Elephas maximus indicus: one gene and its partners. The protein of the gene in region 1 interacts with the protein of each later gene in a biochemical or structural test. Links are inferred from orthologs where the notes say so. Each region holds a gene or a part of one and is shown in the gene's direction. Other genes may lie near its edges.

Region 1 (7,870 bases):
GGGGCGCGGGGGGCGGGGCGGGGGTCGCGGGGCCCGGGGTGCAGGGCGCGTCCCCCCAGCCGCTCGCCCCGCCCCGGAGGGAGAGGACTCGAGGCCGGGGCTAGAGGGGGCGGACCCAGGCGACTTCCCGGAGCGGCGGAACCGCTGAGGTCACCTCGCCGCCCCTTCCCTGCCCGCCCCCCTGCCGCCCCGCCCGGATGGGGCCCGCGGGGCGGGGGCGGGGCGCGGCGGGGAGGGGACCCTCTCGCGATACTTGCCGCCTCGGCCTCGTGTCGCCCTGAGGTCCTGGCCGCGCCCGGCCGCAAAGGGTCCCCCTCCGAGGGCCATCCCCTCCCCCAGTCCGCTCTGGGACAGTCACCCGAGGGCGCAGCCCGGACCGCAGCCTCCTGGCAGCACGCGGGGAGCCAGGGCTGGGATCGGGGAGGGGGCGCGTGGGGGGCAGGGCTGTAAACTGAAACGACTTCATCCCTTCGTGGGAAGTCTTCTTGTGAATTTATGTCATCTCAGGTGGGACACTCGTCCGCACACTCACGTGGGATCTCGACCTTGGCGGCCCAGAGCATGGACACCCACCCCGCAGCAGGTCCTAGCGAGCCTCTACTGCTGCCAAGGCGGCATGGGGTACAGGACACGTCCCAGCAAAACGGGGTGGGGTGGAATCGGAGGGAGGCCCTAGCGCCTTGGAAGCCCAGGGCAGGCAGGAAAGTCTGGGGGGTGGGGAGTGGCAGCCGCGGGAGGGAGTCGGCACCCAGGGGGCTGGGCGTTCCAGGTGGGAGGAGCCGGCGTGAAGGTGTGAGAGACACCCGGGTCTGTGGGAGATGGAAACCCCCACAGAAAAGGGTGGGGGTTGAAGAGGTTGGGGTCCCACTGGGAGGTGCTGCTGGTCAAGGACCTGACCAGGAGTGCCCTCGACCGGACCCATTTGGAGGCACCGGCTAAGCTGTCTGTCCCCACCACTCATGTCATTCTCGAGATCACTCAATCCTGTGCTCGTCCAACTCCGGTTTTGGTGGGAGGTTAGGTGAGGGGCCCAGGGCCACACAGTGGAGGGGAAGCCCCAAACCATGGTTCTAATCTGGGCAGCCTGGTTCTGAGTCCCACTCTGCACTTCATGGAGCCCAGGAGGTGAAGAGGGTGGTGTGGTTATCCAGACCCGGGTAGGGGCTGCGCTGGAGGAGGGACCAGGTTAGAAGGATGGACCCCCGCCCAGTGGATCTGGGGAGAGGAAGTAGTGGGAGAAGTCAGGAGCCTGGGGGGATGAGGTGAACAGCTGTGATTTGTGGACCCGCCAGGAGGGACCAGAGCAAGGGGAGGGGTCTGGTTGGAAGCCAGTGGTTTGGGGGCCTGAGGGGCTCTGGGACTCAGCAATGTGATAGACCTGAGTGCGGTTTTTATCTCCTGTGTGTGGAAAGAAAGCACAAACTTGTACTAAAACTCTGAACTTAAAATCCGTCCCAGTGGCCTGTGTTTTTATGTGCTAAATCTGGCAGCTGTAGCTTCCAACCCTGGAGTCACTTGCCCGAAAGAGCAGAGGGGCAGCAGTGCCCTGGCCCCATCGCCCTCCAGTCTGGGGACACCTCCCTCAGTCCGTTGAAATAGCCCTGCCCCCTGCCTCAGCCTTCAGCAGGAAGAGCTGAATTCAAAGTCAAGTTCAGAGTGGGACAAGCCTACCTCTGCGCCACCGGGCCTGGGATAAGACCCTTGGAAGCTCTTTGAATCTGCCAAATGGGAATGAGTGCCCCTCAGGGGGTCTTTGTGCAGATTAAATGCCTTGCGAGGCAGGTAGCAGGCTCTTCCAGAAGGTTGTTCCCCAGTTAGTCCTTCCTGGCTCTTCAGTGGTCTGTATTCCCATGTCATCTCCTGCTGGTTGAGATCAACCTCCCCAGCGCCGGTCTGCACTGCCCATCCCTCTGCCTTGGTCTTCTTTGGGGACTTCATGTCATGGATCTGTACATCTGTGGTCTCCTGTTCCCCTGCCCGCTGAAAGGTACCATTTTGTTCACTGTCAAATCTCTCCCTGGTGTGGAGATTGTGGCTCCTGGCCACCTTGCCTGTGCTGCTTCCTTTGGCCCTCGCCCCTGTGCCCAAGGGGGAGGAGGGAGGCCCCTCTACGGGGCTCTGACAGCCCCTCTTCAGGCCTGGGAGTGAGGCCCTGGGGTGGGGTGGGGGCGAGCTGAGCAGGACAAGGAGCTCCTTTGGGACCTGACGGGTTGTGGGGTGCGGGGCGGGGAGGTCAAGGCAGGTGGGGACCTGCCTGCAGGAACCCTGGGCTGGGTTGGAGGAGGCAAGGACTTTACTGATTAGGGGAGAGTGGGAGAGAAGCCCGGCATGCTGAAAGTCTGAGTTCAAAGCCCCCGTAGTGGGGGAGGGACTGTCCAAGAAGTCCAGGTGTCAAGGCTACCACCATGTGCCCCATGGGCATCAGGTACCCGCTGGCCTTGGACCTCGGATCCTTTCCCAGGTGGGTGAGGTCCGGGCATGACAGGAGGCCGAGAACCCCAGTCAGTGGTCAGTGGGCGGCCCAGGCAGAGCCTCCTGAGACGCAACGCGCAGGCTGGGCCACCATCTGGCCTGGGGACTGCCCAGAGGCCCCGCCCTGCAGCTGCCACCAAGACTAGCAGCAGCCTGGCTGCCTGCCCCGCGAGGTGCCCCCTGACGGCCAGCAGCTGCAGGGGTGACAGGGCAGGAGGCCTGCTCTGGGAGGGGCAGGTGGAGTGTCCTCCAGAGGGGAGGGTGTGAGGCAGTTCTTGATGGAAACATCTGGCCAAGGAGCCCTAGGTGGCCTGGCAGTGGCCAGTGGAGTTAGACGGAGCTTTGCTCTCTTGTTGTAATTGGGGAGGGGGCCGTCCTTCCCTCGAGGAGGCCAGAGGAGGTGGGACTGGCCTGCCTGCTGGAGTGCCAAGTCATGGGGGAGACAGGCCCAGGCAGAGGTGCACATGAGCTGGGGCAGTGCTCAGGGCTGGAACAGGCGGGAGGCCTCTTGGGGCCCCACCAGCCGCTGGGATATTGTGGATCCCTGTGATGAAGCCATTTCCCAAATGGCCAGTGGATGAGTGGCCTGAGGAATCACACCTCTTCCGCGACAGGGCACCCTCCTGCCCTGGCAGTGCTTACCTGGCCTGCCCAGGCTCAGCGGGTTCCCCTCCTCCACCTCTGCTGAGCCCCGAGGGGGTGAGGGGACAGGTAGGACGTTCCTCCTGAGATGGGGAGCAGTGTCCAGGTGGGACAGAGGAACCTAGGGGACCACATGAGTGTTTGTTGGGTGAATGGTGAGTGATGGACAGACGTGGGACCCGCCGGCTCTGGGGGATCCTTGGTCAGCATCCAGCCCAGGCAACAGAGACCTATGACTTGGGCCCCTGGATGCAGGGCCCTGCCCGGAGTCTACATGGTCTGAGCTGGGACAGCTGTACTGGGGGGAAGGGGGAAGAGGGAGGGTCGGAGGTGCTAAGGGGAGAGGCTGGGAGCTGGGAGCCCCCTGCCCTTCTCTGAGGGGCGTCCTACCCTTGTCCAGCCCCGAGGGGCAGGGGTGGATCCATATCTCTGCTGTGGACAGAGCCTCGTCCCGGGCACACGGCTGGCTACACCTGGCTGCAGGTGAGCCTCTGGCCAGAGTGAGTGTCCACACCTCCCTCCAGCCCGGGCTGAACTCTGACCCTGGATGAAAAACAAAAATGACCCCCCCCCACCCAAATACTTACCACCCCTGATGGTGGCTCCTAAGAGTCTTCCTTTCACAAAAGGGTTGTTATCGACTGGAGGCCTCGGGGTGGGGAGTCAGTTGGAGAAACTGGCCCAGAGAACAAGTGTCTGCAGGTGAGTCATCCAGGTGTTCCCAGTCTGCGGGGAGGGGGCTTGGGCCCCAAGGCATAGGACACTACACGGGGCCCCCCTCTGGGCTGTGAGCCATCCCAACCATCACAGCCCTTCTCTTGAGTCTGTACCCCCTTCACCACAAGAGCCCCAGTTCCTCTGGGTGTCTGCCTCCAGCTCAGGACCGGGTGGCCAGACAGGTATGAGGAATGAAGCCCATGAGCTGGGAGGTGCTGGTTGGATGTCCTCTATCTGGGCCCTGAGACCCCTTTTCTCCCCTGTCACCACGCAGAACCCCCTCCTTCATTCCCTTTTGGAACTACCCGCTTCAGTCTCTTCCTCCTAGGGGGGCTGCTGGAAGCCCCTTGTAGGCACTGAGGGCCTGGCTCCGGTTAATGGAGGCCCAGATCATGGCCAGGGGCACGGTGGGCCTTCAACACACAGGAATGTCAGCCTCCCCCCAAAGCCTGTCCAAACTCCAGCCCGCATTCAAGGCCCGCCTCAAACAGGACTTCCTGGGGCCCCCATCCCGCTGGACAGGGCTGCTGGAACGGGGCCTCTCTGGACATTCTTGTCCCCCCTTCAGGGTGGGGCTGGGCCCGAGGGCACCGCTGACAGTCAAACCGACGCCCCCCACGGAGGCAGATCCCCAGGATTCGTCCCTGACCTTCCTCCCCCGCCCGTCCTAACAGGGTCATGGCAGTTCCGGGCCGGGAAGTGCGGGCGCACTTTGCAAACAGGGAAACTGAGGTCGGAAGGACGGTGCCGGAGAGGCTGGCCCCGCAGCGGGCGCCGGAGGGCTGCTTCCTCGGCCGGGCGCGCTGGGGCGGCCGGCGGGGGCGGCGGAGGCGGATGTGGGCGGGCGGCTCCGGGAGGCGCGGGGCGGGGAGAGGGCGGGTCGCGGCGCGGGCGGCGGTAGGACCGAGCGCGGCGGGCGGCCCGGCCCAGCGCACAGCCCGGAGCACCGAGCGGCCGGAGCACCGAGCCCGCGGCGGCTCCGCGAGGCCGCCAGCACAGCGCCGCCCGCCCGCGGCCGCGGCCCCAGCCCGGACCTGCCCCGCGCCGGGCCGCGGCGGGCGGGGATGCGGAGCGGCGGGCGCCGGAGGCCGCGGCCCGGCTAGGCCCCGCTCGCTGGCGCCCGACGCGCGGCCCGGTGAGTCCCGCCGCGGCCCGGATGCGCCCCGCGCGGGGCTTTGTTCGCGCCGGCGGGCGGGCGGGCGGGCCGGAACGGCGCGGAGCAGGAAGTGGCCGGGAGCGCGCGGCCTGGCGCGGAGGGCGCGGGGCGGCCGGGAGGGAGGCGCCCACGCCGGCCCGGGGCGCGGGCCGGGTCCCCGCATGACCTTGGGGCCGGGCCGGGCCGGGAGAGGGGGCCCGCCTGCGCGGCCGGGGGTCGGGGCGCGGGGCTCTGGGCGCGCGGCCAGCAGGCGCGACGCGCAGCGGGGGCGCAGGCGGCCTGGGGGAAGGTTCGGCCCGCCGCCGCGTCCGCGTCTGTGGGTGGGCCGCGGGAAGAAGGGCTCGTTTTCCCAGAGACAAAGTTGCCCGTGGTGGCCGGGTGCCCAGGCCAGCCCACAAAGGCTCCTAACCTCTCCCGGGCCCGACCTTCCCTCCAGGCCCCGGACCGGCTTCCTGTCCCGAGTGGGTGCGGGGGCACTGCCCACCCATCCCAGGGCCGGGCCTGGAGGGCAACTGGGGCTTGTCGCCTCACATTGGGGCTCCCTGAGGGAGCTGGGCATCTTCCTCCTGGCTCTGAGTGCTGCCCTCCTGGGCAGGGCGGGGGCTGTGCTCCGTGGCCTCAGGGCCCCCACATTTACTCCGCGCGGGGGGCCCCAGCCTTGCTCCAAGTGGCCGCTGTTGACTGATCTGAGCCCCTGGTCCACGTGTAGGGCGGGTGCTGCAGTGGGGGCTTGGTTCCCCGCCCCCCAGCTGAACACACAGTTCAAAACCTAGCATTCTCTGGCGGGGCAGGGGGAGCCTCTTCCTAGCCCAGGTTGTTTTTTTTTTAAAGTGTGACTTAAACAATAACAACAGCAGTAGCAATAACACGGCTTCCCTGAGACAGTCGCGGCAGCACATGTATGGTGGATCCCTCCGCCCGCTGGCCTGGCTCAGAGCTGTCCGGTGGCTGGTTTGGGGCGCACATTCTCAGTGTCGACACACCACCCTGTGAGTGCACAGATGTATTTTTACACACTGGAGCCCCGAGCTCTCAGCAGCTGTCTGACTTTGTCAGCACAGGCCCTGGGGCCGGCTCCCTTCGGGGCTCAGGCGCAAGGCGGGCACGGAGAGGTCTTTGAGTCCAGCCCCTGCCTCCAGGCCATGCCCCCTCCGGTCCGAGATCCCTAGCCGTGGGTTTCATAGAGCCGTTTGTGCCCCTCCTCTTTCCTGGTCATATCTTTATCAGCCTCTCTTCTGAGCACCGCAGGTGGACCTGCTGAGTCCCAGCAGCTACTGCTCAGATGGATGGAGGGCGGGGGGGTGGGGGTGGGGGTGGGGGTGGCTTCTCTGCCCTGATATCACATGGCATGAGGTTTTTTTTTGCTGTTTTCAATTTAGCTTAAGACAATCAGTGCAAAGCTACCAGGCCCTGCCGTGGGGTGAGCTGGTGCCCAAGTGGGGATCAGTTCCATAGAGGTCCTCTGCCCAGCCTGGTGGTCCCTGAGGAGTCTCCCAGGCCCACTTTGGGAGTGCCCATCTGGAAGGGTAGCAGAGGACTGCTCACAGGACGATCGTGTCAAGTGCCCTTTCCTGGGATGCCCAGAGTGGGTGACGTGGGAGCTGGGTTTTGAGGGATGCCTAGGAGTTCGTCCAACAGGGGTGAGGGGGGAGGGGGGAGAGCATGCAGGATCAATGGCTGAAGTGTCTACTCCAGTGAGGTCTGGCTGGTGGGCTGCTGTGGATGGGCGCCAGTGCCACTGCTGTTTGTGCAGTCCCCCCACCCCCCTATTTGTTGCCTCCTGAATGCTATAATTATGGGTCTGTAACCACCCTGGACTGGGTGCTCCTTGCCGACAGGGTCTGTCTGAACCTCTCTTTGTCCCAAGCCCCAGCACTGGGCCTGGCAAAACCAGAGATGCCTGGTACCTGGCGACAGGATGAATGAGCCAGATTCAGACGGACAGGAGCGTTGTGGTTTAGGAGGGGCCTGGGGGTTTTCAGGGGAGGTTTTCCATGTCTCCTGGGGCAGCTCTGGGCTCTCATTTTCACAAGTTGCCTGCACTCCTGGCCCTGCCTTTGTTACGTTTGACCTTTTCTCCTTTCCAGGTCTCAGGGACAGGGAGGAGGGGCCCTGTGCCCTGCCCCAGGGACCCCAGCCTGTGGGCAGAAACCCCATGGGCCAGGAGAACAGACAGGGTACCCGTGATCAGGGGCTTGGGGAGGCATGGGCTGAAGCAGTCCGAAGGGCTGCCTGGAGGAGGCGACCTCTCAGCTGGGTTGGCAGGTTAGGGAAGCTGGATAAGCCAGAGGGCCTTTGGGAGATGGGAGTGATTTGTACAAGGGCCAGGGGAGGTGGGGGCAACAGAGGGGACGGTGGTGGGGGGATGGCAGTGGGGTCTGATCTTCAAGAAGGGTGGGTCAGGCTGGCGGGCAAGAGATGAGCCAGCTGCTGAGATCACGGGGACAGAGGAGCCGGCCTCACGCAGGTCCCTTGTCTTGCAGTGGCTGTGGGCACCGCCAGGGCTTGGAGACCTGCCTAGGAGGAGCAGCTGAGTGTCGTGGGGTCCCCACCGGAGCCCAGCACCATGAACGACGTGGCCATTGTGAAGGAGGGGTGGCTGCACAAGAGAGGTCAGTACACCCCCTGTGGGGCTGGGGGCTATGCGTGCCCTGGGGGCTGGGGTTGGAAGGCACCATGGGTGGCACGTGATGCCTGGGGATTGAGGGGCTCCTCCCCAGGGATTGTCCTGGGCCCAGCTTAGCGTGTCGGCATGGAGGGCCCAGCCGGAGATGAGGGGCAGTGAGGCCCCACTTAGCGTGTAGCCGGAGAGGGCGGCCTCTGAGTGGCGTCCTGGCTGGGGCATGGGGTGGGAGAGCTGCTGCCAGCTTGCCTCCTGGCATT
Region 2 (7,463 bases), on another chromosome or scaffold:
GTGACATCCATTGGTAGCTTGAAATATGCTATGGTAGAAGTATTTACACCGTACAAATCAATGAATGTTTAATAATTATTTTGTTGACTATCTAGACTTTAAAAAAATGACCAACCAAAACAAACAAACAAAAAACCCATTGCAACTCCTAGTGACCCTATGGGACAGAGTAGAACTGCCCCACAGGGTTTCCAAGGAGCAGCTGGTGGACTTAAAATGCCAACCTTTTGTTTAGCAGCTGACTGTTCAACCACTGCGCCGCCAGGGCCCCAAAAAAGTGACAAAGGTGGGGGTCTTAAATACTAGCAAGCGGTCATCTAAGATACATCAATTGGTCTCAACCCACCTGGAGCAAAGGAGAATGAAGAACACCAAAGACATAAGGTAAAGAAGAGCCCAAAAGACAGAAAGGGCCACATAAATCAGAGGCAACATCAGCTTCAGACTGGAAGAACTAGGTGGTGTCCAGCTACCACCGATGACTGCCCTGCCAGGGGACACAACAGAGAACCCTTGATGGAGCAGGAGAACACTGAGATGCAGACCTCAAATTCTCATAAAAAAGACCAGACTTAGTGGTCTGACTGAGACAAGAGGGACCCCAGAGATCATGGTCCCTGGACCCTTTGTTAGCCCAAGACTGGAACCATTCCTGAAGCCAACTCTTCAGACAGGGATTGGACTGGACGGTAAGACAGAAAATGAGACTGGTGAGGAGTGAGCTTCTCGGCTCAAGTAGACACATGAGACCATGTGGGCAACTCCTGTTTGGAGGCGAGATGTGAAGGCAGAGGGGAACAGGAGCTGGTTGAACGGACACAGGGAATACAGGGTGGAGAAGAGGAGTGTGCTGTCTCATTAGGGGGTGAACAGCTAGGAATACATAGCAAGGTGTGTCTAAGTTTTTGTATGAGAGACTGACTTGATTTGTAAACTTTCACTTAAAGCACAATTTTTTTTAAAGTGACAAAGAAAATGTTAATAATGCAGATTAAATTTAAAAGTATGTGAAATCTGTAGCCATTACACTGCGAATGTGGTTGTTGTTGTATGCCGTCCAGTCGATTCCAGTTCACACTGACCCTATATGACAGACTAGAACTGCCCCATCGAGTTTTCTAGGCTGTAATCTCTACGGGAGCAGATCGCCAGGTCTTTTCTCTCTCAGAGCCGCTGAATGGGTTCAAACCACCGACCTTTTAGTCAGCAGGCAAGCGGTTAACCATTACGCCATCAGGGCTCCTCGGATTGTGAGTAGGACCAAAAATCTAAGGAAATATTCTTCCGGTATCTGAAAACTATTCACCAAAGAGGTCGCTGAAGTCACTGACAAGTAAAGTTCTGACATCTCTCGACACGTCAAACTATCAACCAACATTCATGTTGAAACTACTCATTGATCAACTGCAGCCATAGATAGGCTACACAATATCAGTGAAGGCCTTCTGTGAAACCAATTTAGCTATATGGAATTTACAATAAAAACATCATATATTTTATTATTATTTGTAAATTGTGTGCTACACACCCTTTATATTGGTAAAGTTTCTAATACACATATAATAGGTAAGTACACAGGACTGACTACGTAATTTGTGTGGCTCAATGCAAAATAAAAATGTGGGGCCCTTGTTCAAAAATCATGAAGAATTTCAAGACAGTGACCGCATAGTATTATGACTACACAGGTCACACTCCCAAAAAGCTCGCCTTGTATATGCACACATCACCGCCCACCCCCAGAGCTGGTTGTTAAATATTTGCAAGTTCCCTGCTGAGCACAGACTTTTGAAGCTGGCTGAGCCTGAGTGTCCTGTGCTGCCAAATCAGACAAGGCAAAGACGCAGAGATAAGAAAAACCTGGCTCTATCACTTATCAACTCCATGGCTCAACTTCTCTGTACTTTAGTACTTACTCATGTATAAAATGGAAACAATATGACAGTCACAGCATTTGCTAACTGTTCACATCTGCCAGATACTTTTGTAGGTACTTGACACGTACTAGCATTTAACCTCCATAACACTGGCTACTGAGATAGGTACTATTATCATTCCTGTTTTACAGATAAGGAAATAGGTACATAGAGATTAAGAACTTGCCCAGGTTCATACAGTTAGTAAGTGTGTGGTGGCGCAGTGGTTAAGAGCTCGGCTGCTAACCAAAAGGTCGACAGTGTGAATCAATCAGCTGCTCTTTGGACACCCTGAGGGGGTGTTCTACTCTGTCCTATAGGGTTGCTATGAGTCAGAACCTATTGACGGCAATGAGTTTTCGGGCGATGCAAATGGTTAACATGCTAGGTTGCTAATCAAAAGGTTGGCAGATGAAGTCCATCCAGAGTTACCGCGGAGGAAAGGCCTGGTGGTCTACTTCCAAAAAAAATCAGCCATTGAAAACCTTATGGAGCACAGTTCTATTCTGACACACATGGGGTCGCTGTCAGAATCAACCCCATGGCAACTAGAGAGATTTTAATGAAACGGGTAAGAAAGGTCTTTGTAAAATGAGGAAAAAAACAAAACAAAATGAACCATTGCCATCGAGTCAATTCCGACCCTTAGTGACCCTATAGGACAGAGTAGAGCTGCCCCATAGGATTTCCAAGGAGTGGCTGGTAGATGTGAACTGCTGACATTTTGGTTAGCAGCCAAGCTCTTAACCACTGTGCCACCAGGCAACAGACCTACAAATGTGCTGATTACTATTGTTATAAACCACCTTTAATTGTTAATTAGAAAACAGAGCTTTGTCACATCTTCCAAAACCAAAACCAAACCCAGTGCCGTCGAGTCAATTCCGACTCATAGCAACCCTATAGGACAGAGTAGAACCGCCCCATAGAATTTCCAAGGAGCACCTGGAAGATTCGAACTGCCGACTCTTTGGTTAGCAACCGTAGCACTTAACCACTACGCCACCAGGGTTTCCTTGTCACATCTTAGGGTGGTAAAAATCTCATATATTGTTGGTGGGAGTGACAACAATATCTCCCTTATAGAGGGCAATCTGACAATATCCGTGAGAGCTACGCATTAATTTGCCCTGGCCCTGCAACCCCATTTCTGGGAATTTGCCTTGATATACCTGCCCCAGGACAAAATGACATATGCACAAGGGCATACATTGAAGCACTGTTTTTAATGGCAAAAAGTTGGAAACAAAGCAAATGTCTATTATCAGGGGACTGCGAAAACAAATTATGGTATATCTGCATAATGGAATACCAAACAGCTATAAAAAAGCAGCTTTCTATATATCTACCGTGGAAAGACCTCCAAGATACACTGAAATTTAAAAAGTGCAGAACAGCGTATACAGTGTAAGGAAGGAGAAACACAGGAAAATGTAAATTCATATTTGCTTTATTTGCATAAAGAAACTCTAGAAAGATACATATTGTTGCTGTTGTGGTGTGCCGCCAGTGGACTCCAATTCATGGGACCCCCATGTGTTAGAGTAGAACTGCTCCATAGTGTCTTCTTGGCTGAAATCTTTATGGAAGCAGATCACCAGGCTTCTATTCCTCAATGCCACTAGGTGGGTTCGAACCACCGACCTTTCAGCTGGGAGGGCAAACCATTTGCTGCACACAAGGACCTAAAAAAATAAGGGGCAGAAGCAGGAGCTATATAGAAGTTATAATTTTTATTTATTTTGAAATTTGAATGGTAAATACATTACCTATTTGGAAATTTTTAATAAGAAGAGATGCACTGAAATTCCATTTTTTGCTATTGTTTAGAGGATTAAAAAAAACAATATTGCTTTTAAAAGTATTTAAACTCATTGCCATCGAGTCAATTCTGACTCAGCGACCCTAGAGGACAGGGTAGAACTGCCCCATAGGGTTTCTAGGGAGGGGCTGGTGTATTCGAACTGCCGATCTTAACCACTGCGCAACCAAGTCTCCTTAAAATTACTTATCAATACCTTATTGAATTAAAAATTGGCTGTAATCTCTTGGGAATTATCCTGTGAGCCAAAAATTTTTTGCAGTGAGAAAGTATAACTAAAAACATTTTCAAATGGATATTAAACTTAACGTCCAGTAATTACAAGGCCTTGGCAAGGCCCACAGGCTCCTTTCATAATTACACTGGGCGAGGTCTCGAGTCTCTCTCGAACCTGCCTACCACCTATCCCTCCCATCCCGCGGTACCCAGAGAGCGGACTCGGCTGGCCCGCTTCCCAGATGCAGAGGGGAATTAGAGTAGCGATACACCGGAAGTGTGCATGGAAGTGACTGATGTGAACTCACCACCGATTGGCTCTCCAGAGCCGACAGTAGGCTCCTTTCTCCTGCCACTGGCCGCATGGTTTGTCTATTTGAACAGTCCCCGCCCTCCGGAGAAGCCGGGCCTGAAGCGTCATTTCGCCTTCGTTACTATTGGTCTATATTCCAGCCAATCTTCTTACTTCGCCTTTCAATTGGTCCTTAGGTCTGGGAGCCCACCCTCTCTCCCGCCCGGCTTAGAGGACAGCGGGGAAGGCGGGTGGTGGGGTCGGGAGTCTGAAGCTGCGGTACCGGCACTGGCGGCGGCAGCTGAGGCCTTGGCCGAAGCCGCGCGGTGAGTCTGGGGCCTGGCACCGACCCCTCCAAGTTGGCGGTATGTCCAGACCCAAGGCCAACCTGGTCGGTGGGGGCCCCGGGAAGCCGCCCGTCGGGGACGTGGAGTCCCCTCAGTAACAGTCCCACGAGCCTGGCGCCGCCTGGGCCCTTGACCCCTCGCCCCGCGAGTAACGCCCACCTCCTCCCGGGCCCCCAGGAGTCCCCGGACCCTTCAGCCTGTCGTTCGTCGCAGGCTCTCCGGAGGCCGGCCCATCAGCTCCGGTCCTGCCGAGGCCCTTTTGGGGCTCCCTGCCCGTCACAGTCACCCTTTTTTCTTCCAAGGTACATACAAACTGGGGACCCTGTGCCTCGGAGAGGACCGTCCTCAGTGTCAGCCCCTTGCACTGCGCCCTGGAGACCTCTCAGGGTCCCAGTCCACGGGGCTGAATTCGGTTATTTTCTTGGGTTTCATCTTTCGTGCCTCTCCCCCGCCGCCATCCCTAGTTTCAGCCACCCAACTTTAACGGGCTCCCTGAAGCCCTCACTAAGACCCTTAGAACATCTGACTTGGAGTAATTTAACTGAATTCACCTTGGAGCAGAGAGCCTGTGGGACTCAGACCATACAAAGATACACTGGTTCTTTCCTAAGGATGGTAATTATTTGCCAAGCCCCTCCCCCCGCCCCCGCCTCCCCACCTTAATGGTTTTTTCATCAGGGATCCTTAGGTTTCCTCTCCTGTAAAAGATGACATTTCCTTCTGCAGTCTTCTTGGCACTGGGGCATTTAAAAGTTTTTGAAAACCAACTATTCTCTGCTTTTCCTCTGTGGGTCACAAATGGCACTTAAAATAAGAATTTTGGTAATTGGTTTTGTAGTATAATTTGGAGATACCTAGGATGGGTACATGTTACTCCCATAGCAGTCTGCACTGAGCCGTGGTATGGCCACTTTGTTCTGGTTGCCTGGTTATTTGTATTTCCCACTGGATTGTAAACTCACTGAGGGGAAGAGACAGTAAATAGTTGAAGAATGAGTGAATGAACTCAAGAACTAATGTGGCTCTTTTAGCTCACGTTTGAGGTGCTGGTATTCTATAGGACTGCACTGTCCAATTGTGCATGTGGCTATTGGCTAGACCAAATCGAGATTGCTGTGAGCGTAAAATACACACCAGATTTCGGAGACTTAGTGCAAAAAAAGAATGGAAAATGTATCAATTTTTTATATTGATAACATGTTTAAATGGCATTTTATATATTGAGTTAAATAAAATATGCTATTAAAATTAATTTCACTAGTTTCTTTTTACCTTTTTTTAGTATGGTTACTGGGAAGTTTAAAATTACGTTTGTGGCTTGTATTATATTTCTTTTGGATAGCGCTGCTATAGCATAATAATCAGTCTTTGTCTTTAGATTGAACTCCTTGAGGAAATGGGCAGTCTCAGTTATTTGGTATTCTCTCCCCACCTCTAGTACCTGCCACTGAGTCATGTACATAGTTGTTGGGTGCCTTCGAGTTGATTCCGACCCGTAGTGCCCCATGTGACTGTAGAACTGCCCCATAGGGTTTTTCTTGGCTGTATCTTTTTTTATCTTAATGGAAGCAGATTGTCTTTCCTCCATGGAGCTGCTGGATGAGTTCGAACCACCATCCTTTCTGTTAGCAGCTAAGCACTTAACTATTGTGCCACCAGGGCTTCTTATGTGTATACATAGTAGTAATAATGGTTAACCTCAATGAGATGGATTGACACAGTGGCTGCAACAATGGGCTCAAGCATAACAGTGATTGTGAGGATGGCACAGGACCGGGCAGTGCTTCTTTCTGTTGTACGTTGGGTTGCAATGAGTTAGCACCAACTTGACAGCACCTAACAACAACAATAATGGTTAACAATAGTTAACCATTATTGAAAACTCACTGTGTGCCTAGCACTATTTTAAGCACTTTTTAAAATTCATTTAATCCTTTAGAGCTACAGCTACTAACCAAAAGGTAGGCAGTTCACATCCCCCAGGTACTCCTTGGAAACCATATGGAGCAGTTCTCCTCTGTCCTGTAGGGTCGCTATGAGTCAGAACGGACTCGATGGCACAGGGTTTTTATCCTCATATTTATTGTGGTCGAGGAAAGTGAGAGAGATTTTAAGTATTTTCCTCAAGTTATGTAACTTTGGAACTGGATTCAAACCCGGATAGTCTGGCTCCACAACCCACAGTTCAACCCATTTTGCTATGCTGGCTCTTTTAAACGTTAATCTCTGTTGAAAGAATGTTTTCTAGGCTTTCTACGTGTTCCTTAGATCTCCCAACCTTTTTTGAATTCTCCACCTGACATGAGCTGGGTAGAAATCTGTATTGAGGAACAAGGGCCAATAAATTCATTGTCATGGTTCATTATCCAGATACTAAAGGAAGCTTTTCTCCAAAGAACCTCAGGGCAAGATGCTTGGAACAGGACCTGCCGCCGCCACCACGGCCACCACCACATCCAGCAATGTGAGCGTTCTGCAGCAGTTTGCCAGTGGCCTGAAGAGCCGCAATGAGGAGACCAGGGCCAAAGCTGCCAAGGAGCTCCAGCACTATGTCACCATGGAACTCCGAGAGGTTGGGGCTTCTGTGATTTGGGGCAAGTCACTGGGAGGTATCCAAGCTAAATATACCATCACTGTTTTAGGTTCCTTTTTTTTAAAAAAAATTTTATTGTGTTTTAGGTGAAAGTTTACAGCCAAATTAGTCTCTTCATTCAAAAATTTGTACACAGATTGTTTTGTGACTTTCATGGCAATCCCTGCGATGTGTCAGCACTGTTTCCCCTTACTCCAGGTTCTCTGTGTCCATTCATCTGGTTTTCCTGTCCCTTCCTGCCTTCTTGTCTTTGTTTTGGGGCAGGTGTTACCCATTT
Region 3 (6,834 bases), on another chromosome or scaffold:
TCTGGAGATAGGTCAGTGTACACTTTGCTTTTTAATACCACTTCTGTCCTCTGATACAATCCCTGACCCTTGGAGGCTCACATTGTCTAGTTGGCCTACCCTCTCTTCTCCTCATCTACCTATCTTCCCAACACTATCCTCCGTTGCAGAATGGCTTATTTCCTTTTCACTCCCATGTCTGGCCATTATCCTGGGGGCTTCAGAGGTTCATGTAGCTTCTTAATTCCTTTACCATCTCATCTTCAATGCTTTTTCCTCCACTCCAGGTCGGTCATGACCCTACTTTTACATGGCTCTTCATCTGGGATGATAACCTTTATCTTTCTGCCTTGTTCCATTGGTGTCTTAGTCATTTAGTGCTGCCATAACAGAAATACCACAAATGGATGGCTTAAACAAAGAGAAATTTATTTTCTCACAGTCTAGTGGGATACAAGTCCAAATTCAGGGCGTCAGCTCCAGGCGAAAGCTTTCTCTCTGTGTCAGCTCTGGAGGAAGATTCCTTGTCCTCAAACTTCCCCTGGTCAAGCAGCTTCTCAGGCACAGGGACCCCAGGTCCAAAGGACACGCTCTAAGTACACGACCTAAGTAAGGGTGGTGTTAAAATTCCACCCTAGTCCTTTCAACATAAAATTACAATCACAAAATGGAGGACAACCACACAATACTGGAAATCATGGCCTAACCAAGTTGACACATATTTTTGGGGGGACACAATTCAACCCATGACAATCAGTAACTCCCATTACACCTGTTCGGGAACCTTCAGTCCTTCCTGGAATTCTCTTACTCCCTACCCAGCATACATTCTGTGGCTCTGTTTTAAGCACTTTTAAAAGCGGAGGTCTTAAACTCCTTGACTACATAACACTTGTTGAGCAAAGCCCCTTTGTTGGATTAATCCAATTACTCACTCTTTGTGTATCTGTATCTTGACTACTCAAACTAGGTGTAGAAAAATCACACAAACCATCATATTAGTTCTGCCATAAATTCAGAGTCTCCAACCTCAACACTGTCCTTGAAATATTACCATATTTCCTTACATTCCAACTTGCTACAGTGACTATTTTAAACCCATAGTCAAACTTGACTGTGAGCTTTATGATGGCGGGTCCCTATGTAATTTTTTTCACCGTTGAATTCCCTGTGCCTAAGACTGGCCTAGGGAGCCCTGGTGGTGCAGTGGTTAAGTGCTCAGCTGCTAACCAAAAGGTGGTCAGTTCGAATCCACCAGCTGCCCCACAAGAGAAAGATGTGGCAGTCTGCTTCTGTAAATATTACAGCCTTGAAAACTCTATGGGGTGGTTCCTCTCTGTCCTATAGGGTCATTATGAGTCAGAATCAACTTGACGGCAATGGGTTTAGTCTTTTGGTTTTAGGACAGGCTTAATACATAATAAGCACTCAGTAAGTACGTGTTAATTGACTGACATAGTAATAGTGGTAAGCATTCAGCAAATGTTTGCTGTGTGCCAGGCTCCATTCTACATGAGTTGTATGCATTAACTCACTTAAATTCTCCCAATGACCCAATGAGGTTAGTTAGAACTTTTGTCATTCCCATTTTACAGATAAGGAAATATAGAGAGGCAATTTGGAGAGATGAAGTTACAAAACTTGTAAGTGGTAGGGTTTATATGTTATTTAGAACATATAAATGCTTAATAAAAAAAAAATAGATCCAGTTAATTTCAGTTTTAGACAGGTTGAGCATTAGGTGTGTGAGGGACAATCAGGCACTATGCTTCAGGCTCAAGAGAGAGGTGAAAGTGGAGATTAAGATTTAGTAGGGTGTAGTATGTGCATGGAGTCCCTGCCGTGATACAAATGACACATTCAGCTCTGATAGGTTGGCAGTTGGAGTCTACTCAAAGGATCCTGGGAAGAAAGTCATGGAGATCTACTTCTAAAAAATTGATCATTGAAAACCCCATGAAGCACAGTTCTACTCTGACAAACATGGGGTAGGCCTGAGTTTGAAATCGACTGACGTAACTGGTGGATGATGTCCATGGTGTTGAAAACTGCTGGAGCACATACGTAAGCCAAATATTTCGCCTTTTACACAGCTGTTACTTTGGCAGAGCGCTCCAACAGGCTTCCAACGAAACTGTGGTAGTGTGTGTGCAGAAGCCCTCTCTTGCCTTGCATCTAGGTGCTAAGGTGAATTTTGAGAGGGACTTTCTAGACCATCTCTCAGGTAGGACAACACCATCATTGTAATGCTTGAGTCTTTTTTTCCCCCTTAGCATTGCTTCTCCCACTGATTCTCCCTGAGAGTAAGACATCATAAATACTTGGTACCAGTTCCCTTACATCTCACCAAAACATTCCAGTGGTTCTTGAGGGAGGTAATTATCATCTCCAATTTGTAGATAGTTAGAGTAATAATTATAAGGAGCCCTGGTGGCACAATAGTCAAATGCTTGGCAGCAAAGTGAAAGATTGGTGGTTATGGGAAAAAAGACCTGGGGATCTGTTCCTGTAAAGATTACAGCCTAGGAAACCCTACGAAGGAGTTCTACTGTGTATATAGGGTCGTTATGAGTCAAATCAACTTGATGCTACCCAAAAACAACAAAGAGTAATAACTAAGATTTATTGAGCATTTGGAAACCCTAGTGGCATAGTGGTTAAGAGCTACTGTTGCTAACCAAAATGTCGGCAGTTTGAATCCACCAGGCACTGAAGCAGGCAGTCATGAAAGAGTTATTAACCATCCCATAATAGTTGTTTTTCAGAAAAGTCTACTCTTGCTACATTTTTGTTACATCTTTTACGGCACTTCCCCATGATTGGTTAAATGCCTAGGTTTCTTCTGTTCTGGGAGGAGGCCAAGGCGCAGACAAACTGACTCTGAATGTACCTTCTATGAGGTCTTCGCGGGGTGGCAGCAGCAAGCGACCGCTGTTTTTTTAGGGCTGTGCAGAATGTTATTTAGAGCCATGCGCAAGAACTCATTGACTAAAACTATGCCCACTGTTCACGCATCACGAGACTGAAGATACTACCCCTACTGTTCATGTATATGTATGTCACTCCCTATAAAAGGAGCAATCTGCCCTGGTTCAGGGAGCTGGCGGCCACAGGTCGGGAAGCTGCCTGCTTTCAGGTTTGCAAACTGCGAATAAATTTTTGTGTTTTTCCAAGCCTGCGTCAATTCACTAGTCTGCTCGATAAAAACCTCTAAGTTGATTACTTCAGCACTCTATGGGATGGTTCTACTCTGTTCCATAAGGCCACTATGAGTCTGAATTGACTTGATGGTAGGTAGTTTTGTTTTTGTTGTTTACTGAACATTTATTATGCGTCAGGTACTGTGGTGAGTGTTTTTAGGCCTGATCCTCTCCAATTCTCACACCAATTCTCTTTAGTTGGAACCAGTTATAGATGGGAAAACCGCGGCTCAGGGAGGGTAGGTGTCTTGTCCTAGGACATCCAGTAAACTGGCATTTGAACCCCGGTCTTTTTGATCCAGACGCTAAACTGCCTCATCACTGATACATTTGTGGATAACTTCAGGGCTCTCCTCTGTGGAAGAAGGGAGGAAGGAGGATATTTGAAGGGGGATGCTAAGGTTGATTTAAGTTGAAAGTAAGTCCGGACGCTGACGGAGCCTCCCAAAACTCCAAACCGACCCCCCACTCTCTTACAGTCTATTCTCCCCAGCCGAAGAAGCGACGCGCACGCGCACACCCTCTCGCCTGGCTCCGCCTCCCGGGGGGCGCCGTTCCTAGCTCTCGGCTCTGGGGCTTGCGCACTCCATTCCCAGCCGGCAGCGCCTTCCCGGCGGGGGACTTCCGGTGAGCCTGGGTGTGGTTCCGGGTCGTGGCGCGGTTCGGGGCAACAGGGGTGCTGCTCGGCGAGCCGGCGGCGGCGACCAGCGGGGGAATGAGGGCGAGCCTGGGAAGTGGCAGCTGAGCGGTCCGGGAGGAGCGCCAGTCTCCGAGGATTCCAAGAGTTCGGAACTTGGGGCAGGGGCCGGGAGGCGCGGGGGAGCTGGGCCCTCTCTCAGCAACGTGTCCCGGGGCCGGCCCGGCCCGCAGTTTGGAAGCAGCTTCAGGTAAAGGTTGCCTCAGCAGCTGGCTCACTCGCTCGCCTCCCAGCCCACCTCCGGGGCCTGGTGCCTCCCTTCACTCCGCGCTCAGCTCTGCACGGGGGGCAGCCCATCAGGCCGGTGCTCATGTCGCCGGACAGTACCGGTTTCCTGGCTTTTTCCAGAGCTGGAGGCTGCCGTGAGCCTGACAGCTGTGTGTGTGATTTGGGGGAGGAGAGGCTAGTGGACCTGGTGGTGGTGGTGGTGGGGGTATGCCAATTATCCAGTAGTTTCTGGCCCTCTACTCGGCAGCACCTAGGTACCTTGATCTTCATAATCGGAAAATTAAGTTTTAAAAGCGTTGCCTGGGTGGTTCTTGTTTATTAACGCATCTTCTCCCTCGTTCTTCCAAAGAGCCCGGGAGACTCACGAACCGTTTTTTCCAGTAAGAATGCTGCTAAAACTTTTGTTCAATTTTTCATTTATGGCAATGGTAAGGAGGCTCCTAGATCTGTTTAAGGCTTAAAAAACAAACAAACAAAAAATGATTGTAGCTTAGACAAGAATTTTACTTCAGCTGGAGACCCAAAAGTTGGTTCAGAAACTGATTAAAATCTCATACTGAATGAATGCAAGTAGTTTTTGAAGCTTATCGTGTACCTGGTCCAGTACAAAGCACCGTGTTGTTTTAAACCAAAATCAGCAAAGTCCAAAACATCCCAGGTGTGCACAGAGTCAAACAGGGAGACACGTGACTACACACATCAGTTTAAAAAAAACAAAACATTCCATTTTTGATACAGTTGGGGAGAATCTCTAATGTTAAAACCCACTAGAGCAGGAAACAAGGCACCGTATTTTATTTTTCAGAGCCTATGAAGATGCTCACTAGATGTTTTGCTGAAAGAGTTCTTGATGAAGCATTTATAATGTTTTTCATCTCTTTCAGTTTACACAACTGCAGGCTTGCTGGGACCTATGCGGCCCCTTTCCCATTCAGCTTTGCCCTCATACCTACCTTTAGCTACTGTGTATGCCAGTATGCTCACGTTCCTTCACACCTGGTCTAACTTGTAGCTACCTTTTCAGCTACGCTTGACACACATTTGTGAAGACTTCGTATTTTTAAGGAGCCGTGGTGGCACAGTGGTTAAAGCGATCGACTGCCAACCCAAAGGTTGGCAGTTCAAAACAGCCAGCGGCTCGATGGGAGAAGGATGTAGCAGTTTGCTTCCGTAGAGATTTACAGCCTCCGAAACCTTACGGGGTTCGATGGCAGTGGGTTTTTGGTTTGGATTTCTTTAAGTACTCCACCCTGATCTATTACCCTAGACAAGTAGGATCTCAAATCCGTTTTGTTCTTCCTGTGTTGCTTTTTGTGGGACATTTTCTCTGCCTAGAAGGTTTGTCTTGTTCTAGTTCTACCTGTTGAGATGCTACCCACAGTCTAGCTGAAGTTGGCCTACCTCAGCCATTCTGGGACAGCTTCAGGTAGAACTGATTTTTTCTCTAGACTCCTATAAACACTCATTATTATGTCTACAATTATTTCACTTAGCAAGCATTTATTGAGTGTGGATATATACTAGGCACCATGCTAGACATGGGAAATGTGGAGATAAATAAGACTCATTCTTTGCCCTCAAGGAGCTCAACTTAAAGAAATCAATAATTCCAACACAGTGATAAGTACTGTGTGAGAGTTAAATTTGTGATACAGTGGTGGCACAGAAGGAGGGGGTCATTATCTCTTTTGAGGGGTTATGGTCAGGGAATGCTTTATAGTATGGGATAAACGAAGCTTTATTGAGTATTTACCATGTACTGGGTATTATATAAAGGAACCCTGGTGGTGCAGTAGCTAAAGTGCTCAGCTGGTAACTGAAAGGGAGAAAGATGTATCAGTCTGCTTCCGTAAAAATTTACAGCCTTGGAAACCCTGTGGGGCAGTTCTACCCTGTCCTATAGGGTCATGAGTTGGAATCAACTTGATGGCAGTAGGTTTGGTTTGGTTTTGGTATTGTACATAAGTTTCTCTTGTTTAATCATGTTACAGTTAAACGTCAATTGACAGATTAGGAAGACGCAGGGTAAATTACACAGCTGCCACGTGACAGAGCCAGAATTCATACCTGGGTTCATCTGATGCCTAGATCTGTGATTTTTCCATTACATGCTTTGCCTTCTTTCTCACGCCAGAGCTCTCTTTGTACAGGTACATAATGAAATAACTCTACAAGAGAAAAAAATATGAGTGTCAAAATGAATGATACAGAAAGTTCTTTAAACGAATAGAGAAGATGGTGATCTTTCAAAGGTAGGAGATGGTAGATGGGTTAGCTTAATTTTTGAATATGACCTGAGAAGACATTCCATGGACTGTATTTAATTCCTGACCCCTATTCTTACTAGATATGTGAACTTTGACAAATTTTTTAACTCCCCATATCATTTTTCTCAACTATAGAGTGTTTGGAATTATATTGATCTCATGGGGTGTTGTGAATATCTAATCAGCTAATGTGTAGAAAAACCTGTTGCCGTTGAGTCGATTCTGACTCATAGTGACCCTATAGGACAGAGTAGAAATGCCCCATAAGATTCCAAGAAGTGGCTAGATTCAACTGTTGACCTTTTGGTTAGCAGCCTGAGCTTTTTTGACATACTTATTTTATTGTACTTTAGGTAAAGGTTTATAGAACAAATTAGTTTCTCATTAAACAGTGAACATACTGTTTTATGACATTGGTTAACAACCCCATGACATGTCAGCACTCTCCCTTCTCAACTTTGGG
Region 4 (7,583 bases), on another chromosome or scaffold:
TGCCTTATTTTTAAAGTCACAGATATTTGTGGAGTGACCAATTCTTGCAAGGCACCATTTTTAAAACTTAATATGATATCAGATATAATGATACTGGAGTGTTGCAAAGTAGCCACAGAAGGGTTACTGATGTTATTGAAGCAGAAACTTCCAGTCCTGATTTTTACACTATGAGGAACAAGATAAATTCCTCAAAAACTTATAAACAAAATTTATTTTAATGTCATAGTGCTCAGGAAGTGAAAAATCAGTTAATAGGTTTTTTTTTTTTTTAACTTTTTAGACATTTAAGGATTATAATACGACAGTTTTCTTCCCTGCCAATCTGAGGTACTCACTGAAGAGGCATCTCTGTCAATTTCCATAGCATTTAATGAACATGCTGCTCATTTCAGCTTTGGCATTTACCTTTTGGCATGCTACCCTTTGCCCCTCAAAGGCAGGGAACTGGGTCTTAGCTTTCTGAGAGATGCAATGAAGATTAACTGACAAACATAATATCTTATATCTTTGTGCTTCCCCGTTTTCCGCTGCATTGCTCAAGTCTACTAGTTTATCTTGATGTGTGCTTGAAGATACAAGCTATTGCCAGCCCATGTTTCTGCTATTGTTGTTAGTTGCTGTTGAGTATATTCCCACCTGTGATAACCGCATGTGTGCAGAGTAGAGTAGAACTGCTCCTTAGGGTTTTCAAGGCTGACTTTTGGACACCAGATCGCCAGGCCTGTCTTTTGAGGTGTCTCTGGGTGTGTTCAAGCAGCCGACCTTTTTGGCTAGTAGCTGAGCACTTAGCCATTTGTGCCATCCAGGATCTTCTATGTTTCTGCCAATATATACAGCTTTTTATTTAAAATTCTGGTCATAAAATTCAGTTTCAAATGTTCTAGAATTCACAACTTTTATTTTGGGGGTTGTGCCCATCAGTCAATGCTTACGTAATGCCTCTGAGGCACTAAGTGCTAGGAGGTCATAACTTTTATTTCTCAGGATCTTCAGTTCTTTCTTCAAAACTTGTACTTTTGGGTTTTCTTAATCAACTGGTCATTTTATATATAACCAAAAAAAAAAAAAACATCCATTGCAGTCAAGTCGATTCCAACTAATAGCAGTTCTATAGGACAGAGTAGAACTGCCCCATAGGGTTTCCAAGGATGGATTCGAACTGCTGATCTTTTGGTCAGGAGCCAGACGCTTAACCGCTGTGCTACCCAGGCTCCCACTGTAATATATACATTTGTGTAAAATTTTAGGGAAAAAAACCTAAAATCTTTCAAGTATAAAACCTAAAATATTTTATACTTATTGCTTCACGTCCAGTAGATGGCACCAAATACCCTTTGAAGTTCATGATACTAATTCCTGGTTGGCATTGGTGGCTAGTTGATCATTTCTTCTGCTACCAGGTAACGGAGATGGTGCTTAAAGATGGTGGCTGGCCGCATTGCTCTCCACAGTCTTGCCAATAATCCAGTCTCAAGCACCAGGCTCCTGAAAGGGCTTACTACGCCTCTTCCGAGTCTCCCATTCCAGGGCTTCCACCATTTTTTCCCCTCATTCCAGTTATCACTCCGGATCACCCAAATTGTAAAAATTAGGTTTTATTCCAGTTTAGCTTCCTCAGCCATTACTGAACTGGGAAGAATTAGTTCGAAGCCCTGGTTGTTAGTTGCCTTCAAGTTGATTCCAACTCATGATGATGCCATGTGTGCAGCGTAGAACTGCTCCATAAGGTTTTCAAGGCTGTCACCTTCAGAAGCAGATTGTTAGGTCTGTCTTCCAAGGCAACTGTGGGTGGGCTTGGGGTGCCACCCACGGATTCATAGGGGAAGAGTAACCCACTGCCATTGAGTCAATCCTGACTCATAGTGACCCTACAGGGCAGAGAGAACTGGCTGTACTTTCCAAGGCTGTAATCTTTGCAGAAGCAGTCTGCCACATCTTTCTTCCACAGAGCGGCTGGTGGTTTGGAAACCACTGACCATTTGGTTAGCAGCCGAGTGCTTTAACTACTGGGCCACCAGGGTTCCTAGGGGAAGGGTAGTAATATTGAAATAGGACTTGGGTTAAGATCAAGAGTTGAGAGTAAGAGAGAAAGAATAAAGATGTGCTGAATGACCATAATAAAATTGGGAAAAAATATAAAAGTATAGAAAATCCAAAATGTTAAGAAAATCAGAGTGTCAGTTTTGGAACTTGAGTAGAATTGCATTCATTTCATCTTGATTTTTAAATATATTTTACAATTAAGCATGCAGTTAAACAACTCTTTAAACTGTTCAATTCTCACTCATTTCCAACATTGTTTCGTGCTTTCTTGAAAACCCTTTTTTCTTCAGTATGCGTATTTACTGTTTTCATAAAAAAAAGGCAGCTTTTAGATCCAGTTAACTATCAAAACCAGAAAATGTATTTCCCTTTTGTGAGGTGTGATTTACTACACATCTGTCTACTTATTCTGTCGAGTTTATTTAACTGTAATGGATTTGTCAACCACTAAAAATGACAAGTTAAAAATTTCTCATCGTAATTACCTTTTCACCTTTTTCTTCCTCTTTCTCTAGTGTTTGAGTGTTGGTGTTTTGTGACTCAGTCAGGTTGTCTGTTTCTTAACTGTCTTGTCTTTAGTACAACCAGTTGCATGGGCTCTGGGCGAGAGGGATTTAGGTTCAGTTCCCCCTGGGGCTGACTGGTTGCAGGGCTTGGAACCAGAATGAACATTTCTAACAAATTCCCCAGAAGTTATACATAAGAATCACCGGGGGGGGGGGAGATTTGTTAAAAGGTAGATTCTGATTCAGTATATCTGGGGGGGAATGCAAATTCTCAGCAGGGAACTTGCTAGAAATGCAAATTATCAGGAGGCGTTTGAACGAAGGAACTGATGATCTGAAGCCCCTGCTGGAGGGCTAGCATTCACTTAACCTCTCTGAGCTGCAATTTACTCATAATTAACACAATCTTACTCATAGGGTTATATTGAGTATTAGAAATAAAGTAGGTAAATCACTTGACACATAGTAAGCTATTATCATATACTGGCAACAATAATAAACTTTTTTAAGAAGCTTTCTGAAATATGATCATGCTTTACTGATTTCTGTTTTCAGGACTCTCAACTTACCAAAAACTCCTACTTTTTAAGTTGGAGATGTCAGTATATTAACCTGGTAACTTGGGTCTAGAGATAGATTTCATCCTAGAAATCTTGGTAAGCTTAGGGAACAGTCCTTAAATAGTACTTTTTAGTTATGTAGATTTAACATCCTATTAAGTGTGTCTATTATTGGTACCACCATTGATCCGCTGAGTGTTAAGTTCAATGCTTAACCACTTGGCCATCCTCGTATCCTGGTGGCAGAGTGGTTAAGTCTAACCAAAAGGTCAGCAGTTCAGCCACCGCTTGGGAACCCTGTGGGGTCAATTCTCCTGTCCTATAGGGTTGCTATGAGTGGGAATCGACTGGACAGCAAGGGGTTTGGCCCCTGCCACACACAAACACACAAAAGGGAGTATTCCCTTCAGTGTTTCATCTAGAATTAATAGGGAGGGAAAGACCCAAAAAGAGATTTAAAAGAATCTCGGGGTTCAACGTTATTTTGTAGGTACAAGAACTTTTTAAAACCAACTTGCATGAGGGAGTAATTAATTATACCATCACTTCCCGGAAGAAAAAAAAAATTGCCTTTGGAGAGGGCTTGGGTGCTGTGTACCGCAGCTTTGTGAGGAGAGAAAAAAGCTGGGCGGCGAGCATTTAACCCGAGCCAGGCTTTTTCCCTCAAACTCCACAGCCACGTGGCGCCGCGGGGGCCAGGGACCCACCGGCCGCTCGCCAGGCTGCCGGCGCCGCTCTCCCGTCAGGAAGATTTGCAGCGGGGTCCTCGGCCACCTAAGTCCCGGGAAACCGCCACCTCCATGGCCGCGGCCGCCAGACCCAGCACCCCGGCCCCGAGCCCGAGCCGGGCTGTGAGCCCAGGCGCCTCGCACTGCGCCTTCCACTCGGGGAACCCCAGACAAGCTGCCGGAAGTTTTCCCCGGGGACGAGGCCCGGCAACAGGTTCGAGGCGGGGCCGGGTGGAGCCCGACTCCACCAGCCTGGTGAGTCAGCGGCGCCCAGCGCCCGGGTTCGCCCCTCCAAACCATTGCCAGACCCAGGGAGGTCTCTCACCTCCAGCCACTCAGGGCTCGCCGGGCCTGGAGAAAGGTGACGTCATCGTAGTTGGGCGGTTTCGGAAGGCTCCACCAATAGAAAATAGGTGAAGTAGCGTGCCTTCAGTAGCTCTCGGCCAATACTAACAAAGCAAAAGGGGGCTTGGTTGTTGGTATAGAACCAATGGAAAACAGGGAAGGAGCACTAGGCGGAGTTGCGAATCCTGTCACCAATTGGAGGGAGGGGGTGGAGCCCGGGCCTTGTCAAGCGTGCCCAATCAACGAGAGAAGCGGACTTTGGGGGGCTGGGCCGTACTGCCTTCCCCCAATAGGGCAAGGCTAGGGGCGGGGCATTCTTTGGACTGTCCAATGAGGAACGCAGCCGAAGCGGGCCTGTCAAGAGCAGGGGCTGGGGGCGGGGGGATGGTGAGTCGGGGATAAACACTCCGCGGCGGTGGCGGCTGCTGCTTATCTTCGGGTTCTGTCACGGTGTCGGCGGCGCCCAGCTCACTGGCCTCCTCTCTCTCCCAGCGAGCGTGGTCGCCAGAGAGGCTCCCTCAGCCCTGTTCCACGGGGCACACAGCGGGGCGCGGGTGTCCGGCGGCGGCGGCGGCGGCGAGCCCGTGGGCAGTGGGGGTTGGTCCCGTGGCTCCGGCCCCCGGTGCGGAATGGCGGCGGTGGTTCGGATGAATATCCAGTTGCTGCTGGAGGCTGCCGACTACCTGGAGCGGCGGGAGAGAGGTGCACGGGGACGGGAACGGGTCCAGCCAAGTCCGGGCCGGGGACCCTGAGGGGCCGGTCCGCGGTCGGGGCTCCCGGCCGCTCCGGGGGTTGTTGGAGGCGCGGAGAGCGCGACCGCGAGCGCTCCCAACCCCTCCAGCTCTCTCCACGCGCGGTCCGAGGGAGGCTGCGGCTGCCCCAAAGCGATGAATGGAGGTGGAAAGGGGCCGCCGCCCCCGGGCGTCCCGAGCGCCGCCTCCGCCCGCTTGCGAGTGGGGTGCCCCGGCCCCCTCAGCCGGACCTCCTGCCTTCCCTCACCCGGGCTCGCCCCGGCCGGCCCCCAAGCGGGCCTGGCGCCCAGTCTCCCGGCCGGAGGGGGGGCGCCTGCCCTGCCCCCGGCACCCCGTGTTTGCCCCGCAGCTTCACCTGAGGCAGGTCCCGCTTAACACACGCCAACCTGCTGGACGCTGCGAATGGGAAACCCGGGCTCGGTGAGCGGAGCGACTTGCTGTGTCTCTCTCAACAATGAGCAGCTGGAATCCCTCCGTACACCTCCAAACTGAGGGCATTCAACACAATGAAAAAAAAAGTCATTGTTCACAGAATTCCACCTTGCTGCGTTTAATTATTTCCACAATACTCTTAAAGAAAAAATAGATTTAAAAAAGGAGAGACTGGAGGGGAGAGAGTATTGAATGCTCTGGGCTCATTCATTAACTGGATCCTCCGGTTTTCTAGAAGCTGAACATGGTTATGCCTCCATGTTACCGTACGATAAAAAGGACAGAGATGCCTTAAAACGGAGGAACAAATCCAAGAAGAATAACAGCAGTAGCAGGTAATTTGGTAAATATTTCTCTTTCTCTTTTAGATCATACTGTTGTGATTATAACCTTGTACATACATTCAGTGGTGATCCTAATTCAGTAATGCACACTTGGTCTTAAGCCATTGGAGGAAGCAGCCCTTCTATTTGGATTGAGGGGACTGAAAATAAAAGAGAAATGGAAATGTTTCCCATTTCTTTATGAGCAGTGGTTTTGTGTGTGTGTGTGTGTGTGTGTGTGTGTATGTTTCGTTTTTGTTTTACTTTTGCCTTTATTCCCTTTGGAACAAAAATCTGTGGAAGCTTTAAGTGAGATGAGCAGCAGTGACAATATTTTGCCTTCAGAAGTTGTAGATTCAGGGCAAGCTTACTATGTCTGAAAAAGCTGGACATTATCAATTCCTTTTACTTCTCATAGTGAACATTTATAAGCAGACTGAAAGTTCTGACTTGGCATAGGTGGTAGGATTTCATATTTGACATGTAAATTAAATTCAGTGCTTTCCTGGTTAATCTAATTGGTTACATCTATTTATAACGGCAACGAGGAATTATTGAGGTTAAAACCTACCTGTTTGGTGTTGGAGGAACATATAATATTAAAATATTAATATGCCACAACCCTTTCATGTTAGCCTTGTAAATTGCCCTAAATTTCTTAGAAGCTCTGAATCTCACCGTAAAGTACTTGGTTAATGGTCAGAGAAATCACATATTTAAGTCCTAAGCATAGTTCCTGACACATAGAAGTATTTCCTCAGTGCTACGCCCTTTCTTTCTCTCTTTGCCCTGAAATTTTTAGTTGGCTAGGAAATCTGTTTTATTACATCCTTTCAATTATTCCTTTCATGCCAGTAAATTAAAATCTACTTTTTCATCCTTGCTTTAGAACTTCATCCTCCTCTATTCCCCCTAACTGTATTTGGGTAGCCTCTGTGATACAGACTCCTAAAAGCCAGAAAGTCCCCACTTCAACCTAAAACTCATTTGTTCCTGCTGCCTGTTTGTCCTTAGTTCACCCCCATTGTCCTTGTGTGGTTAGTGGAACACAGGATACGTGCAGCACACGTGTGCTGTGCTCTTGAATAAGAAAGTACAGAAAGGATGAACGTGGTAATTACCTGATAGTTTTTCCTTGCCCTCCCATCTTTAACGTTACCTGAAGGTGGTAGCTACTGGTTCTGCGCATGGGTACTGACGCCCTTTAAGAAAACTGTGAATACTGACTTGTATTATGGAATGGTGTAAAAACAATTAAGTTTGTTGCGTTTTGTTACAGTATTAATTTTTTAAATGTTGTTTGGAAGAACTTTTTGAGGCCTTTGGCTTATTTTTCTGGAAAAGTATAGTTTATTTATTGTCCACTTATTGGGGAGAAGTTATGCATGTTAATAGTCCAGGTTTAATACCTGAACATTTTGTTTTTCCTGAGTTTCACAGGAAGGTTGTGGCGGGGAGTGAGAATTCTTAGTTGAAGACAAGTGTCTTGATTCCAGAGGGTGATTCGAGAAGAGAAATGATAGTTGTGAATTTCAAGCCAGTGGATTCCTCCTTTTCTTTTCTTTCCTTTCCTTCTCTTCTTTTTTTCTCCACCCAGTAATCAACATTATTGTTTATTTATGAAAAATGGCCATAACTCCTGATTTTTGCAGAAGCTCTATTTTGCTAATGAACTTGCTTTGCTTTCCGTGGTTAGATTGTTTCTACAGAAACAATCACAATTGTCCATAGTCTTGGCTAATAGTTAGTGTAACATCTTCAATGGTGCAGGGATCTCGGAGAGACCATGATTAAACCTGGAGATGGCACCCAAGCAAACAAATGCAGCAAGAGCAGGTTTTGTTTGAATGCGATCACTTCCTTTGTGACGTGTTTGGAATGACCCTTACCT

Evidence for each region.
Region 2: of the proteins of AKT1 (region 1) and MTOR, one has a biochemical effect on the other in vitro, tested with the Homo sapiens proteins (19 studies listed by BioGRID and IntAct, with this or other methods). The link is inferred for Elephas maximus indicus from reciprocal best matches to the Homo sapiens genes AKT1 and MTOR.
Region 3: of the proteins of AKT1 (region 1) and MAPKAP1, one has a biochemical effect on the other in vitro, tested with the Homo sapiens proteins (3 studies listed by BioGRID, with this or other methods). The link is inferred for Elephas maximus indicus from reciprocal best matches to the Homo sapiens genes AKT1 and MAPKAP1.
Region 4: of the proteins of AKT1 (region 1) and MXD1, one has a biochemical effect on the other in vitro, tested with the Homo sapiens proteins (2 studies listed by BioGRID, with this or other methods). The link is inferred for Elephas maximus indicus from reciprocal best matches to the Homo sapiens genes AKT1 and MXD1.

The regions. Positions count from the first base shown.
Region 1 is NC_064828.1:119,089,307-119,097,176, reverse strand, and holds the start of AKT1 (RAC-alpha serine/threonine-protein kinase), read left to right. Parts: upstream 1-4,861; 5' UTR 4,862-4,966; intron 4,967-6,348; exon of another isoform or gene 6,349-7,252; intron 7,253-7,470; 5' UTR 7,471-7,553; coding exon 7,554-7,599; intron 7,600-7,870. UniProt on the Homo sapiens protein: AKT1 is one of 3 closely related serine/threonine-protein kinases (AKT1, AKT2 and AKT3) called the AKT kinase, and which regulate many processes including metabolism, proliferation, cell survival, growth and angiogenesis.
Region 2 is NC_064821.1:51,095,392-51,102,854, reverse strand, and holds the start of MTOR (serine/threonine-protein kinase mTOR), read left to right. Parts: upstream 1-4,463; 5' UTR 4,464-4,572; intron 4,573-4,597; exon of another isoform or gene 4,598-4,895; intron 4,896-6,963; 5' UTR 6,964-7,003; coding exon 7,004-7,165; intron 7,166-7,463. UniProt on the Homo sapiens protein: Serine/threonine protein kinase which is a central regulator of cellular metabolism, growth and survival in response to hormones, growth factors, nutrients, energy and stress signals.
Region 3 is NC_064827.1:76,668,948-76,675,781, reverse strand, and holds the start of MAPKAP1 (target of rapamycin complex 2 subunit MAPKAP1), read left to right. Parts: upstream 1-3,826; 5' UTR 3,827-4,066; intron 4,067-6,834. UniProt on the Homo sapiens protein: Component of the mechanistic target of rapamycin complex 2 (mTORC2), which transduces signals from growth factors to pathways involved in proliferation, cytoskeletal organization, lipogenesis and anabolic output.
Region 4 is NC_064835.1:66,292,082-66,299,664, reverse strand, and holds the start of MXD1 (max dimerization protein 1), read left to right. Parts: upstream 1-4,570; 5' UTR 4,571-4,814; coding exon 4,815-4,887; intron 4,888-5,604; coding exon 5,605-5,704; intron 5,705-7,583. UniProt on the Homo sapiens protein: Component of a transcriptional repressor complex together with MAX. In complex with MAX binds to the core DNA sequence 5'-CAC[GA]TG-3'. Antagonizes MYC transcriptional activity by competing with MYC for MAX binding.